3 linked regions of the Drosophila melanogaster genome follow. The protein of the gene in region 3 interacts with the protein of the main gene of each other region in a pairwise test. Each region holds a gene or a part of one and is shown on either strand. Other genes may lie near its edges.

Region 1 (3,632 bases), on a different chromosome or scaffold from region 3:
CGCCACCTCCGTATTGCCAATCCAGCAGCAGGACCTGCACCCAAGTTAGTCCCTCTGCCCGGAAAGTGAGGCGTTGTCGCACAAGGATTTCTGAGCTGGGAACGGATCCGTATCCTTGCCAAATAAGAACTCCCTTGCCGCCAGCTTCGCTGATCTTGCCCGGCCACCGGAATTTGCAATCCCAACCCCTTGAGCCCAGAAACGACCATTTCGGAATAAACTCGGTCATGTCCAACTACGTGGCTAGCTTTATGAACATGCAGGCTGATCGATAATTACTTTTAATTACAGTTCATTGTTTAACGAACATTACTTGTGATATAAGTCCTAGCTGCTGTAGAAATTGTGAAAGAATTCATTTTTTATGTATCATAAAATATTTATAAATAGGGTTTAAATATTACAAACTAATAAACGAAAAAAAAACCTTAAAAGTGACTCTCTCTTCATATTGCAAGAATAAATATTCTTATTATTGAATTCAATTAAGAAATAGTGGCAAGCTGCTTGCTTAAAAGTCTTGGAATTTTATTACACTTTCTTCTTTTACAGTGTAGGAGTGGCTCTTAGTCCCCTTCCCTAGCGACCATCTCTTGGAGGAGCTCGCACCAAGCCGGGATGCCAGAAGCAGTTGGAGCAGTTGCAGCGCGGACAATGCCAGCAGTTTCCGCACTTCATGCACACATTTCCGGTCGCATGTTGGGTGGGCGAGGAGCAGGGGGATGGACCTGGTACGGATCCGCCACTGTCCCAGAGATCCTTGTTCCGGAGACACGAACGACTGCGCTTCGGGCTGGCCGAACGAGCTCTTGGCAGCCCGGCGGCGGAGGCAGATGTGGCTGTTGGGGATGATGACGAGGATGGTGGTTGTGGTGGTGCAGCTGGAGGAGCACAAGGAGCTGCCGGCGGGCAATGAGGCTCTCTCTTCGCCGAACTGGAATCTGGCTGATCTAGAAACCTAACCGTGGGCGCATACAGCTGGAAAGCCAGAGGCTGGGGGATCTGCAGGTCACAACAGGACCTCTCCCGTTCCTTGCGCAATTCGGCCAGCAGGCGATTGAAGGACAGGTCGTACTGCACCAATTGCTGCAACGGCAGCTGCGAGTCCTGTGCGGGATTCGTCAGCAGCTGCTGATGCGTCAAGTGCTGCGGTTGGGCCAGCGGCACCAGGTTCCACGATGGCGGAACTGGAATCAGGCTGCACAAGTAAACGGGCTGATTTAAGCCACCATGGGAACTGGGTGGTGCCAGGCAAAAGATCTGCGGCATCGCTGGGGCTCCTTGAGCCAACGATGATTCCTGTCGATAGCATCTTGATGGATTTGGCTGCGAATCATATCCAGCGCATGGTCCACCGGCTGAACAACACTGGCCATGAAAGCTGCAAGGAGAGGCCTGGATGGGATTGGGCATCGGAGTTGGATATGGATTGGCACTAGGACTGGCACTTGGACCGGCTGTACCTGGCTGGCCAAATCTGTCCAAGCCACCATTGAACTGGGTACAGCTCGAGCAGATCATGTGATTTTTGTATTCATCCAAATTGAAAGAATTCGGCAGTGGCACATTGCAGTCAATGCTGGAGAGGAAGGGAGTAGAAATCGAATCACTTTTCATGGAAATTCATGTATAAATTACCTCAGACCCTCTGGACACTCGGTGACCAGGCACATGCCCAGTCGCGGTGGTTCCACCTCGGACTTGGAGGGCACATCGTTGGTCGACAGTGGAGCGTAGGACATGGTGAACTGATGCTGTGAATTTCCCTGCGACTGCAGGCCGCCACCGTTTCCATTGGCGATCAGCTTGCCCGACGAGGTTGCATTGCATCCGTGCTCACAGCTCTCCGTGCAGAACATCTTCAACTCTTCACCACCCGGAGAGGCCAACTCACGGATATGACAATTTTGTGTACATGTTAAAGCACAAAAGGTGTAGAAATGTTTGACATCATAAAGCTGAGACATACTGATTGATACCAGACTTGCTTCTCTAGTATATAATTTGAATTATTTTAAGAAATAAATACTGTTTCAAGTTTTTAAATAATTTTATCTTATTAATATTAATATGGTTCTAAAATCTTAAACACCAAGAACGTTTTGGTCACTACTTACACAGTAAGGGAAATCCAGTTTCGATGAGCATTTCAAAGTTGACAGTACATTTGTCGCCTGATATACTTTTTGATATGCGTTAGGAAACATCAACTCACAACACCCGGAAAACACATCAAAATTCAGGAAAATGGAGGCCCCAGGCGAGAATGAATCATCAGGGCAATTGGCCAAATCAAATGACGAAACGGTGGCCAAATGCTGTTTCATGATTACCGTGGGCACTGATGGTCTCATCGAAATTAGCTCACTTAATCAGGAATGCAAGAATCCCCAAAGCGGAGCAGACAGTAGTAACTCCCCACTGACGAATGGCACTAAGGAAACCAAGAAAGAGTGCATAGCTGTGCTCAAAGGGAATTCAAATGACATCGATGATGACTCAACTGAAAAGCTGGAGAAGAGCAAGAATGACAAGTCCATAGAGGAGATCAAGAAAACCGAAACTTTGCCGCCTTTCGTTAAGATCTGCAACAAGGATCTGGCGAATAGACCTTCGTTCGTGGTTCTCGAGGATGCTTTGGCTAGGAATCGGATTCAACAGGACATAGAACAGTCGAAGGAAGACCAAACCGGCAAGTGTCAGACGCAGCAGACCTCGCGTTCCTACGCCATTTCTAATGCAGGATCCCAGACGGACAAAGCCTTTCCGCAGTATCCAACCACCAGCAATAGCAACCAGAAAGGTTATATTATTCATTTTAGATTGCTTCTATATTTATGTTCCTTCCTCCCTCTTTATTCCCCAGGTAACACTGTACAAGCCGCTCGGAAGTTATCCCTTCAAACTGCAGCCCAGGTCCGACAAAAACTTTTAAAATTAAATCGGGAGCAACAGCAACAACAGCGACAACCGTCGCTGAATGAGCAGCATCAACAGCAAATGTCCTTGCTGCAACATCAGAACATGCAGCAGAATGTGCTGCAGCAGCAGCAGCAACATATGCAGCAGCATTTGACGCTGCAGCAACACCCGAACGTGCGAGTTCAACCGACCAACAACTCGCCATATGTGACCATCAGTTTTATGCACATGAATCAGCCGGGGACGGCAACATCGGGTTGTCCTGTCATGTATCCTGGCCAGCAGTTCCTGTGCGCCACGCCGAGCAGCATGTCCAGCTGCTCCTGCTGCACGTGCAGCAATTGCTGTCCGTCGAGGACGAGTCAAGTCTGCCCAATGCAGATGGGCAATCAGTATCAATGTCCAGCCAACGGAAGCAACTGCTGCATGTTGAAGCCGGAGAGTTTTGCAAACGGCTGCTACAACGGTGGTACATCCTGCTGTCCTTTGTCGAGCATGGAATCACATCCTTCTATGGGATTAGGTGGTCAGATCAGCCAGCACATGATGCACCCAGTTCTCGGAACCTCCACTTGTGCGCTGCAGCAGCAGCCGAATATTCCGATTTCTGGAGGATTTTATCCCTGTTGCTCGTGCCAATCCTTGTGCAACCAGTGTTCCCAGTGCAGGACGCACCCCCATCCTTGTTGCCACTGCCTGGGACCCTTCAA
Region 2 (4,062 bases), on a different chromosome or scaffold from region 3:
GCGACAAAATGCAGCTGCTCGAATTTGTACGATTCGTGCTCAACATTAAATCGTTTGCGTTTCGTATAAGTTCGAAAGTAATGCTTCAACCATGTGCAATTCATCAGAAAGTAAACCAAGAGATCTCTTAAGCTTCTCAACGAACAATTAAATATTAGGCTTATACTTAAATAATTTAAACTCCTTAACTCCTAAACTCCATTTTTATCATATATATGTATTATATGCATATATAAGGTATGAAAATAGGCTGAAGGTAAACTTTGCCTTGTGATATGTTTTCGGTGAAAGTAGTTAGACAAATACCATACGTTGATCCAAACTATTTTAAGAATTTATTGAGTAGTTATCATTGAAAGGCATTTAATTTTATTTCAACACATATACATATGAAATGTATTCCACATACGCGGCCCACGGCCTATAAATTTAAAATTTTAAAGCAGTCAAATTGCAGCATGCCCAAGACTCTTCTTCACAAATTGCCAAATGAATGTTCAACTTGATTTGTTTAAATTCGATCGATTTACTTTACTCGTATATTTAAATAAATAGAATTCTATGATAGGAATATCTTAACTACTATATGTACAAAAACATGTGTGTCAGTCTCCAAGTCTCTTGGCCATTATCACTCCCAGCTGAGTGTTTTGGGCTTGTGTTTGGCCGCAGCTAATCGATCGCTGAGAACCCATCATGGCCAGCCACTGGGTTCCGCGCGCAGCAAGGCTCCTTTTCTGTTTGCGCTGCCTCTTTTGCCTCTGCCTTCTGCACTTGCGCACTCGTCCTTGTGCCCAAAATGTCCTGGGCACCGTAGGGAGTGCGCCCTCTACTGTGCAACTCATCGCGTCGCAGCTTCGTTCTCGGCTGTGTCATTTGCGTGTCACCTACAAATGGTCGAGAGAAGTGCGCTTCGGTTTCGTGGCGGTACGGCTTTCGGTTCCGCTCTGGGGAAGAGAGTAACTGAGCATCGCCGGACCTCAAGACAGATGGTAGAGGTCCTGTGGATGTTGCTGGTAGCTGCACTGATGTTGGTACTGCTGCGGGTAGGCATCGTACTGCTGGTGGGTCTGCTGCTGAGGGTAATCATTGAGCAGGCCATAACCATGACTGTGACTGTGGCTGTAAGCGGGGTAGGCGGCGGTGGTTTGGTGGTGGTGGTACATGGGCACTGGCACCGATGGTGCCCCGGTGGTGGCGGTGCTTGTGGCCTCCAGTGGCGGCAGCATCGCGGTGTAGCCGGCACCACAGTGCTCCGGGGAGCTGTCCAGCGTGCGATCCTTCTTCGACTTCATGCGTCGGTTTTGGAACCAGATCTTGATCTGCCTTTCGCTCAGGCTCAGGGCATTGGCGATATCGATGCGACGACGCCGGGTGATGTATCTATTGAAGTGGAACTCCTTCTCGAGCTCCAGGGTCTGGTAGCGGGTGTACGTCTGACGGGTGCGTTTCGAGTCTTTGCAATCTGTAAGCATAAGCAAAGAAAAAATGGGTTAGCTAATGAGTTTTATAACTGCGTATTGTTTGAAAATATCAAAAATGTATACAAAAACATATTTTCAATATTTTCAAAGTGTATTTTTAGGGGTTGTTAATCGTGTGTGATGCCTACCTGATGCCAAAGTCTCCTCGATGTGCGACCAATTGAAATCGCCGGCTCCATTCGGGGCTGTCACAATTCGATGATTGATCTCCTGGCTGACAGCTGACGAGGATTTCTCCCCCGGCGATTGGGGTGGCGTGCTGATGCCTTCGAGGGGCGGCAGAGAGGTGGGCGTGGTTGGCGGAGGGGTGGCAAAGTCGCCATTCTTCAGCTTCTGCGTCTGCGACTGGGGCGAGTAGACGTCCAAGTAGTCGACATCCTCGGAGGCGCTGGGCGTGGGCACAGTCACGTACTCTTGGTCGTAGCTGGGAGCGGGGCTGGCGGTGACCTTGGTGCTTACGGCGGGAGCCTTCTTCACCTGCTCGACGGTTGTGTAGAAATAGTCGGGGGTGTACTTCAGCTTCTTCACGGGATTGGTGAGCAGAGCCCTCAGTGTGCTGGGTCGCTCCTCCACGGCGGCGATGATGGAAGCAGCATCATCTTCGGCCTTGCGCTTGGTGGCCTTGGGCGGCGGGGTGGTGGGTTGCACGGGCGGTACAGTCTGGGTGGTCACCTGCTCCTGATTGTTGTAGTAGTAGCAGCTCTCCGAGTAACTCTCCTGGGGATAGTAGCCCTGATAATTGGAGGTGTTCTGATAGTAGGCATTGCTGCCTGAATTATCGTAGTAGGTGGGCGGCAGGCTGTGGGGGTGATACATGTTGTACATGTTCATGTTGTCGGCGTAGCTGTAGTGGCTCTGGCTGTTTGTGGTGGCCATATCGGATGTGTATTGCTAGATTTCTTCTCTAACTCTGCGATGTGCACGCAACGCTGGTGAGTTTGCGAATGAGCTGGTCCTGCGGCAGATCCTGCATATATAGCAAAATCAGAGAGCCCTCGGCACACGCTCGCCGTTATAGCGCATAAATATCCCTGCGCATGACACTTTGCCGCCTGCTGTTCGCAGCCACCCCTCCGGCGAAATGTCCTTGCAGGCACGGAGAGGGGAAGTTATCCGAGGTCCTGGCAACTTTATCCGTACGGTGCCTACCTGCTGCGCGGCTTATTACCTACCCATCGCGCCCATTATCATCGCGATTTATCCGCCCGCGCGCTTCTCCTACTCGGCGACCTTGAGACGGTGCTGCAGTAATTACGGCCATGAGGTGCCTACCTATGAGGTGCGCAGAGCGAGAGGGCGCGACTCTCAGCCGATCTCCCTCTAATTGCAATAATCATAAAGACATAAAAACTGTAAACTGTTGCTGAAAACGTTCCTTCGGGGCAGAGGCTTTTTCCCCGGCCCGTTTATGGTTCCCTAAAAATTTCTCTGGATTTTTGCCAGCGCGCAAAACACCGAAGACTGGCTGCCAGTTGTTCCCGGAACCCGATGCCCTTTCCCTCCGAATTTATTTCGTGGCACTGGGCGGCCAAAGGATAACATTACGTCCGATCCCTGGGATCAGGAATACGCGTGGCCGAGGGTCGCGTGTTTGCGCTTTTTGTTTGCCCTCGTGGCCAAGCAAGTGCGCAACTCCCGATTCCCAAACTCACTCCTGTGCCCGGTATTTGCCTAAAAACCAACAAACGCACTTCCAAAATGACTAGTAAACAGTAAAAACTTTATGCAAACATCCTTTGCCTAAATTTTAAAAATATGATATAAATTATATGCCCGCTGATTTTTCAAATGAATACTAGTTTTATTTTATTTTTTACGTTATACTTTTAAAAATGATTCTATAACAGCAGAAAACCAGCAATATTTTAATAGCATAATATTGTTGAGAATATAAAGCTTTTACGCTTTTTTTCGGTAACTCTGTGATATAACCCTCAAGTTTTTATAAATTTTAAGTAGGTTGTCTATGGATGCTGTAATTTTTAATGGCCAAATGGTAATGTATCCTTTGTGAGTGGTAATCTTGAGTTAAATTTGTGGCACAAAACTTGCACAGCGTAGGATCTTCATGTTTAATTATAACATTATAGCTCTTATACTTATACTTATATGGATCAAGAATATATATACTTTGTAGCACTGCAATTGCTGCCTTCTACCTGTTACATTCATTTCAGTAAGGGGTAAGAATGCCACAGGCTTCACGATTTACTATTTCTCATTCTTTTAGAAACTGAAGGTTATTTCTGGTAATCTAAAAATCTACTTCCATCTTAGGTTCGCGTATAACCTGAAATCAGCTCAGCTAAATTGACTGGTAAAAAACAATCATCTCTCAGCCACTTTTGTGTTTACATGACTTTCTGATCGGCTTACGCGGCCTGGATAAATTTTATTAGCCACCCCCGTTGAACACCCCTAACATATCGATACTCCTGACATATGTGTGCATGTGCGAATTCTACCCTTACCCCATCCGCATACTCTGGCAGATTCCATTGTTCCACAAAATTTATGGCGTTTTTCAGTTTGACAGAAGAGACTGCAGTTCGCATCTCTCCGATGTCCTGTGATTGCT
Region 3 (5,011 bases):
CCACTGCCGGCCGACGGTCCACACTTTGTCATGGCCATGTTATTATGGAATTCACATTTGATTTAATTGCCGAGCCCGGGAGTCCTTCGTCCAGCTCCCTTGCCGCTTTTCAGCTCGTAAAACCACCGAAATGCGCGTGTTAAGCCACCGAACCACCGCACGCACCACACACTCCCCCTTTGAAATAAAAAAAAAAAACGGAAAAAACACCAAACAGAACGAGAAAAAAAGAACTCGAAATTAAGTTGTTCATTAGGTTTTTTTTGGACCTTCTCAGTCTCCGTCTCAGTTTTTCGGTTACCACTCACCGCGAACGGGAAACTCGTGCTGGCCGTTAAGGCCATAAAGTTAGCAGTTGGCCCGGGGCCACGATTTGGCCGACAGTGCGATAAGGATTGCAAATCCACTCGGTTTTGTAGAAAGTGAAATAGACATTCCGGCCAAATCCAATTTGGCCGCAATGAAAGGGTTAATTTCCCCTCTGGCGTGCTGCTCGCCCATTTCTCTGGAATTTTTCGTGGCCCAATCGAGGCCAGTGAGCAGTCAAAACTAAATAGTTCCGGACATAGTAGCAACCCCTAGAAATATGCGACTATTCCACTTGCTTTGCCACTTCTACACGTGTTAATTATCAATTATTGGGTACGATCCATCCTTAGAATGCTGAAAAATGTATCTTGCAGAACACAAAAACCTAAATTTGAGGTATTACTTTTGGAAATATATCTAATCTAACTAACAAGCAGTGATCCAAAGTATCTGGTGAGACCAAAAAATCCCCTCTAATTTTAAGAGACCTTATAAAATGTGAACGCGTAGCAAAGGTTTTTTCCAGATCCACAACGGCTACAATTTTAAATGTTGAATGCGATCTTGAGGCCAAATTGCGAGTTATATATATAGGGATGTTGCTAATCTGGGTTCTCGAGAACCGCTTTCTGGTTTTCAGGGGGGATAATATACGAGTATAATTAGTATCTTCCCCAAGTGCTACCGATTTCTCCACAATCCTCAACTCGTAAGTCTCAATTAGCTCCGTGCACATGTCAAGCGGAACAGACATAAAAACCGATAGAAATTAGTTAAACATACAATAATTTAAATTCGTGCGATTACCGAAAGTGGAACCGACAGGTTGGCCGAGCTTCTGTTTCGGAACCCTCTCCCTTGATTTTATTTTTTATCATTTGCTGCCCCCCCCGCAGATCAATGGATCGATCGAAGCCAGAGCCAAGCGGGGCATTAACAGCCGCTAATTAAAATAAAAAAATTATAATAAAACGTACGCTTCACCATTTGAATATGATTAGCTTGCTCTTTCTGGACCACGCTTAAGTAAGTTGTCCGACGGCTCGTTGCCTCGTTGCCGATGGCCAAAAGCCCCGAAAGCCGGTGGCTTGGGCTTTGGCTTAGAAAGCACACAAGTCAATGGGCCATAATGGCAGCCAGAAACGACGGCATGACAAAGAATTAATTAGCATACGATTTTTGACTTTTGTCGCTCGCCGTGGTCGTGGGAAAACTAAAGTCTGGCCAAAAAGGCAGTCATCGATCGTTGGCAGTCTGGCCAACGATCGATTGGTCCGCTTTAAATGAGTTATCTCGGTGCGGCGGAAGTTCAATTGGCCGTAGTTTTGCATTGCAAATTCGATTCAGGCCATCCGGTGGCATCTTCCACTTCATTCACAACATGAATATTATTCGAATATTATTGGAATCGAATCTTGGCCGAAACTAACGCCGCCGGTTGAATGAAGATCGCCCCGTTTGGTTCCGTTCAGACTCGATCCGTTAGATCAGATCGTCGTTCATTAAGAAATAAGCCGATCGATGGCAGGGCGTTGGGTCTGGGGGGACGAGGTCGGACTTGAGACCGATGTGTCGAACTCGATAAGCAAATATCGTTATTAAAGTCTTTCAAAAACGCCGCAACCTGATCGGGAGCGACTCGATTTTTAATGATTTAGTTGTTGAGAAAGCAAATTATGCGCAAACAAATTGATTACGATCGTTTATGGTGGTCATTATGGGCAGGTCGATGGATGCGACCAGATCTTAATTAAGACGCCGATAAGTCATCGTCGTTAGCTTTTGTCAAGTGTTGGCATAATATTACGGATTAGAATGTGTCTGCACTCAAAATGCAATGTGTGCACTTTTCACCAAGTTCAATTAAGCTTATCTGGTCTCGAGTAGAAAACGAGATAGCACATCTGGCGTAAAATCCAAATCAACAAAATATACAATCTAAAAACTTGTCAGTGAACTAATAAAGTTGTCATCTAATTTCATTTAATGAAGCAGATTCAAATAAAAGCTCAAATTTATTTTCAGATCCAAGCAAATGTATTCTAACTAATTTATGCCAATAATAATGACAATTCGTTATAAACGATCTATGGAATATTATAACAGATACTTGAATCTGCTAGTTTTTTATCTTTTTATGTTCTATTTTTTATAATCTAGATAGCAAATGAACACTTAAACTTTACCAATTCAACATAACTTGGTGAAGCTCAATTTAAAAACGTTGTGCAAGCATAAAAGCTTGACCAAAAACGGATAATCTTCCATGAATAGTATCTTTCCTAGATGGTTATACTTTTGAAATATATAATTCAAAAGATGTGCTCACCTTAAACTTAGAGCACTGAATTCGCCGGCTATCCAATAACTTTGCCGCAACTTGGTTCGAATCCTTTGATCACTTGAGCACAACACTTTCCGCTCGAGTTTTGCATGCACCGTGTGGCTTATTCCGCGGATAATGGCCGATTACTCAGTTCGGAGGCGCGACGGCTAATGGCTTCTGTATGATTCTTATTTGGGAGTTCGGAACGCGACGCACCTTGTCACTCGACCGTCAAAAATTCGACTAACTGCACGCGAATCGCGGGACCGGCGCATCGATTCGATCAATTTTTGTGGCAGTGGCAGTGGCGGTAGCAGTGGAAATTGAGAGTTGGCTTCGTGCCTCGCCCGCGGTCCATCAGCCGACAATTTCTACTGAAGCGCCGCCAAGCAGAGCGGCCCAAAACGCCACCGAAAAGCCGCCGCTCACTAACACACTCGTAATACGCGGCCCGCACACACTGACACAAGCGTTCACGGACTCACGGACGAACCGTTTTTCTGGTGTAACCGGTTTTTCACGGCTGCGACGTCCGCGTCGGTTTCAGCCCCATTTGGCCCACCGCCAGCCAATGAGAGCCAATCAGAGAGCTGGCCCGGTGCGCATGCGTCGCACGCTGCGCCGACGGTGAGCTGCCATTGGCCAGATTCGGCAGCAGGGGTGGGGGCCAGGTGACACGTCCTCCGGGAGCGAAATCGACACGGGCACAGTGGGTCAAGTGTGAAGCTAGAGGCTAGTGGGCTAGGTCGATTTCAACAGCATAGAAAACCGCATTGAAATTAGGGGTAATTACGTAAAGCCACTATATTCAGAGAGTGACTAATACGCAGTTACCTTTGTAGATAAACATTGCTAATCTGGTTAGTTGATTAGTTGGTTAGTAGTAAAAATTGTGATGATACTCAAGTGCAGCTAACTAAACTATCTTTGTGATTTAAGAGTTCAAAACTTTTTAGGATTACATTGTAATATATTTGGGAAGAAAGGAAACCTTATAGAAGCATGATACCATGACCTTTTACATTAAAGCTACTTTGAAATGTTAAGAATGAGCCACCTGATTTGAAACTAATAGTTTAGTGTCAAAATTGTTTTTCTAACTTGGTACACAAACTTAATGTTATGAGCAAAAACCGAGCAAGTTCAGTACAATCCAGCTTGCAACTTTTGCTCCACTGTGCGATTGCATGACGTCCGTGCAGCCCGCCTTCGCTCTGTGAACGCTCTGGGGGTAGTAGAATTTGGTGTGGATGGTCGGCGAGTTCCGGCCAGAGAGCGTTGCGGCAGAGCGTAGCCTTATCCGTGGCCGTTTCCGCAGCCGATGCGTTGCCGTTGCAGCCGCGTTCCGGCCAATCGGCGGAGGCAACGCAGCACGCAAACGCTCTCACTCCCGCCCCCCGCCCACGTCCTGCATCGTGTGGTTCATAGAAACTGATAGTGTATGTATCTCGCCCACTCCAAGGACCCCATCCACATCCACATCCGCATTGTGACACTGCATAGCCGTTACCCTGGCGAAACAGCCACAGCTACGGCCACAGCTACGGCTCGTCCTTGCCCACCCGCTGGAAACTCCCGGGGGAGAGGAGGAGGAGGAGGAGTAGGAGGAGCGGCAGGAGGCGGAGGTCGTTGGGTGGGTGTCGGCGTTAAGTAACGCTCGGTGGTGCCGCAGGCGTTAATTGAATTCGACAATTGTCGCTCGGCATTCACAATTGGAAATGGATTTTCACTGCGACGGCGACTGGTGCTGAAAGATAAAGCTGTCACATTGTTTGTGATTGTTCCAAGGGAGGAGTCCGGATTATTGATCCATTCGAGGTACCGAACATGATGAATGGAAATTAGTTGCCATGACTAGGAAATCAATGGTCCCTAGCAGGGGGAACTCCTGATCCACCAAGACTGGCTAAAGCCTAACCCGTTTTTTGGAGCCGCGTGGCGTATGCAAATCCACTTGCTACCAAAAACCACAAAAACCTGTGCGAAAACATGCAAAATTCTTAGGCCCACTCAGCGCGATGGCTTTCCCATGGCAGGAGGATGGCAAGAGCTTGGCAATAGCTTCTGCTGGCCAGAGATAAAACTGTCACAAAGGCCGGGTTGCCGGTAACCATTTGCCATTTACCAGCCATCCGAGCTATCCGAGCAGCTGCCTCTGACTTTTCCCAGGCAACCAAGCGCGGCGTAATAAGATCAAGCGAGTCAACCGTGCGTGGTGGCATCAACACACACCTCTCTGTCTCTTTTGGCACAGAGTCCTTTGGTCCTTCAGTCCACTGGCCCACCCAACTGGCCACGCCCAACGCCCAGTATGCTTGTTCATGGGCCACCCCCTCCGCGGGTCCTTCAACGTGTGTCTTGCCCTATCTGACAAGG

What was found.
Region 1: the proteins of Poxn (region 3) and hale interact in a two-hybrid assay, tested with the Drosophila melanogaster proteins (2 studies listed by BioGRID).
Region 2: the proteins of Poxn (region 3) and ftz interact in binary tests that used the Drosophila melanogaster proteins (3 or more experiments, as listed by UniProt).

What each region holds. Positions count from the first base shown.
Region 1 is NT_037436.4:19,983,917-19,987,548, forward strand, and holds hale (hale-bopp), read right to left. Parts: upstream 1,953-3,632; 5' UTR 1,860-1,952; coding exon 1,639-1,859; intron 1,580-1,638; coding exon 580-1,579; 3' UTR 510-579; downstream 1-509. Other genes in the region: CG17732 (uncharacterized protein), read left to right, coding at 1-275; schuy (schumacher-levy), read left to right, coding at 2,248-2,803, 2,867-3,632.
Region 2 is NT_033777.3:6,862,692-6,866,753, reverse strand, and holds ftz (fushi tarazu), read right to left. Parts: upstream 2,431-4,062; 5' UTR 2,361-2,430; coding exon 1,613-2,360; intron 1,466-1,612; coding exon 981-1,465; 3' UTR 510-980; downstream 1-509. UniProt on the Drosophila melanogaster protein: May play a role in determining neuronal identity, may be directly involved in specifying identity of individual neurons. Required during embryogenesis for the process of body segmentation.
Region 3 is NT_033778.4:15,832,045-15,837,055, forward strand, and holds the start of Poxn (Pox neuro), read right to left. Parts: upstream 3,012-5,011; 5' UTR 2,639-3,011; intron 1-2,638. UniProt on the Drosophila melanogaster protein: Transcriptional regulator that specifies poly-innervated organs (chemosensory bristle). Also controls the number of neurons.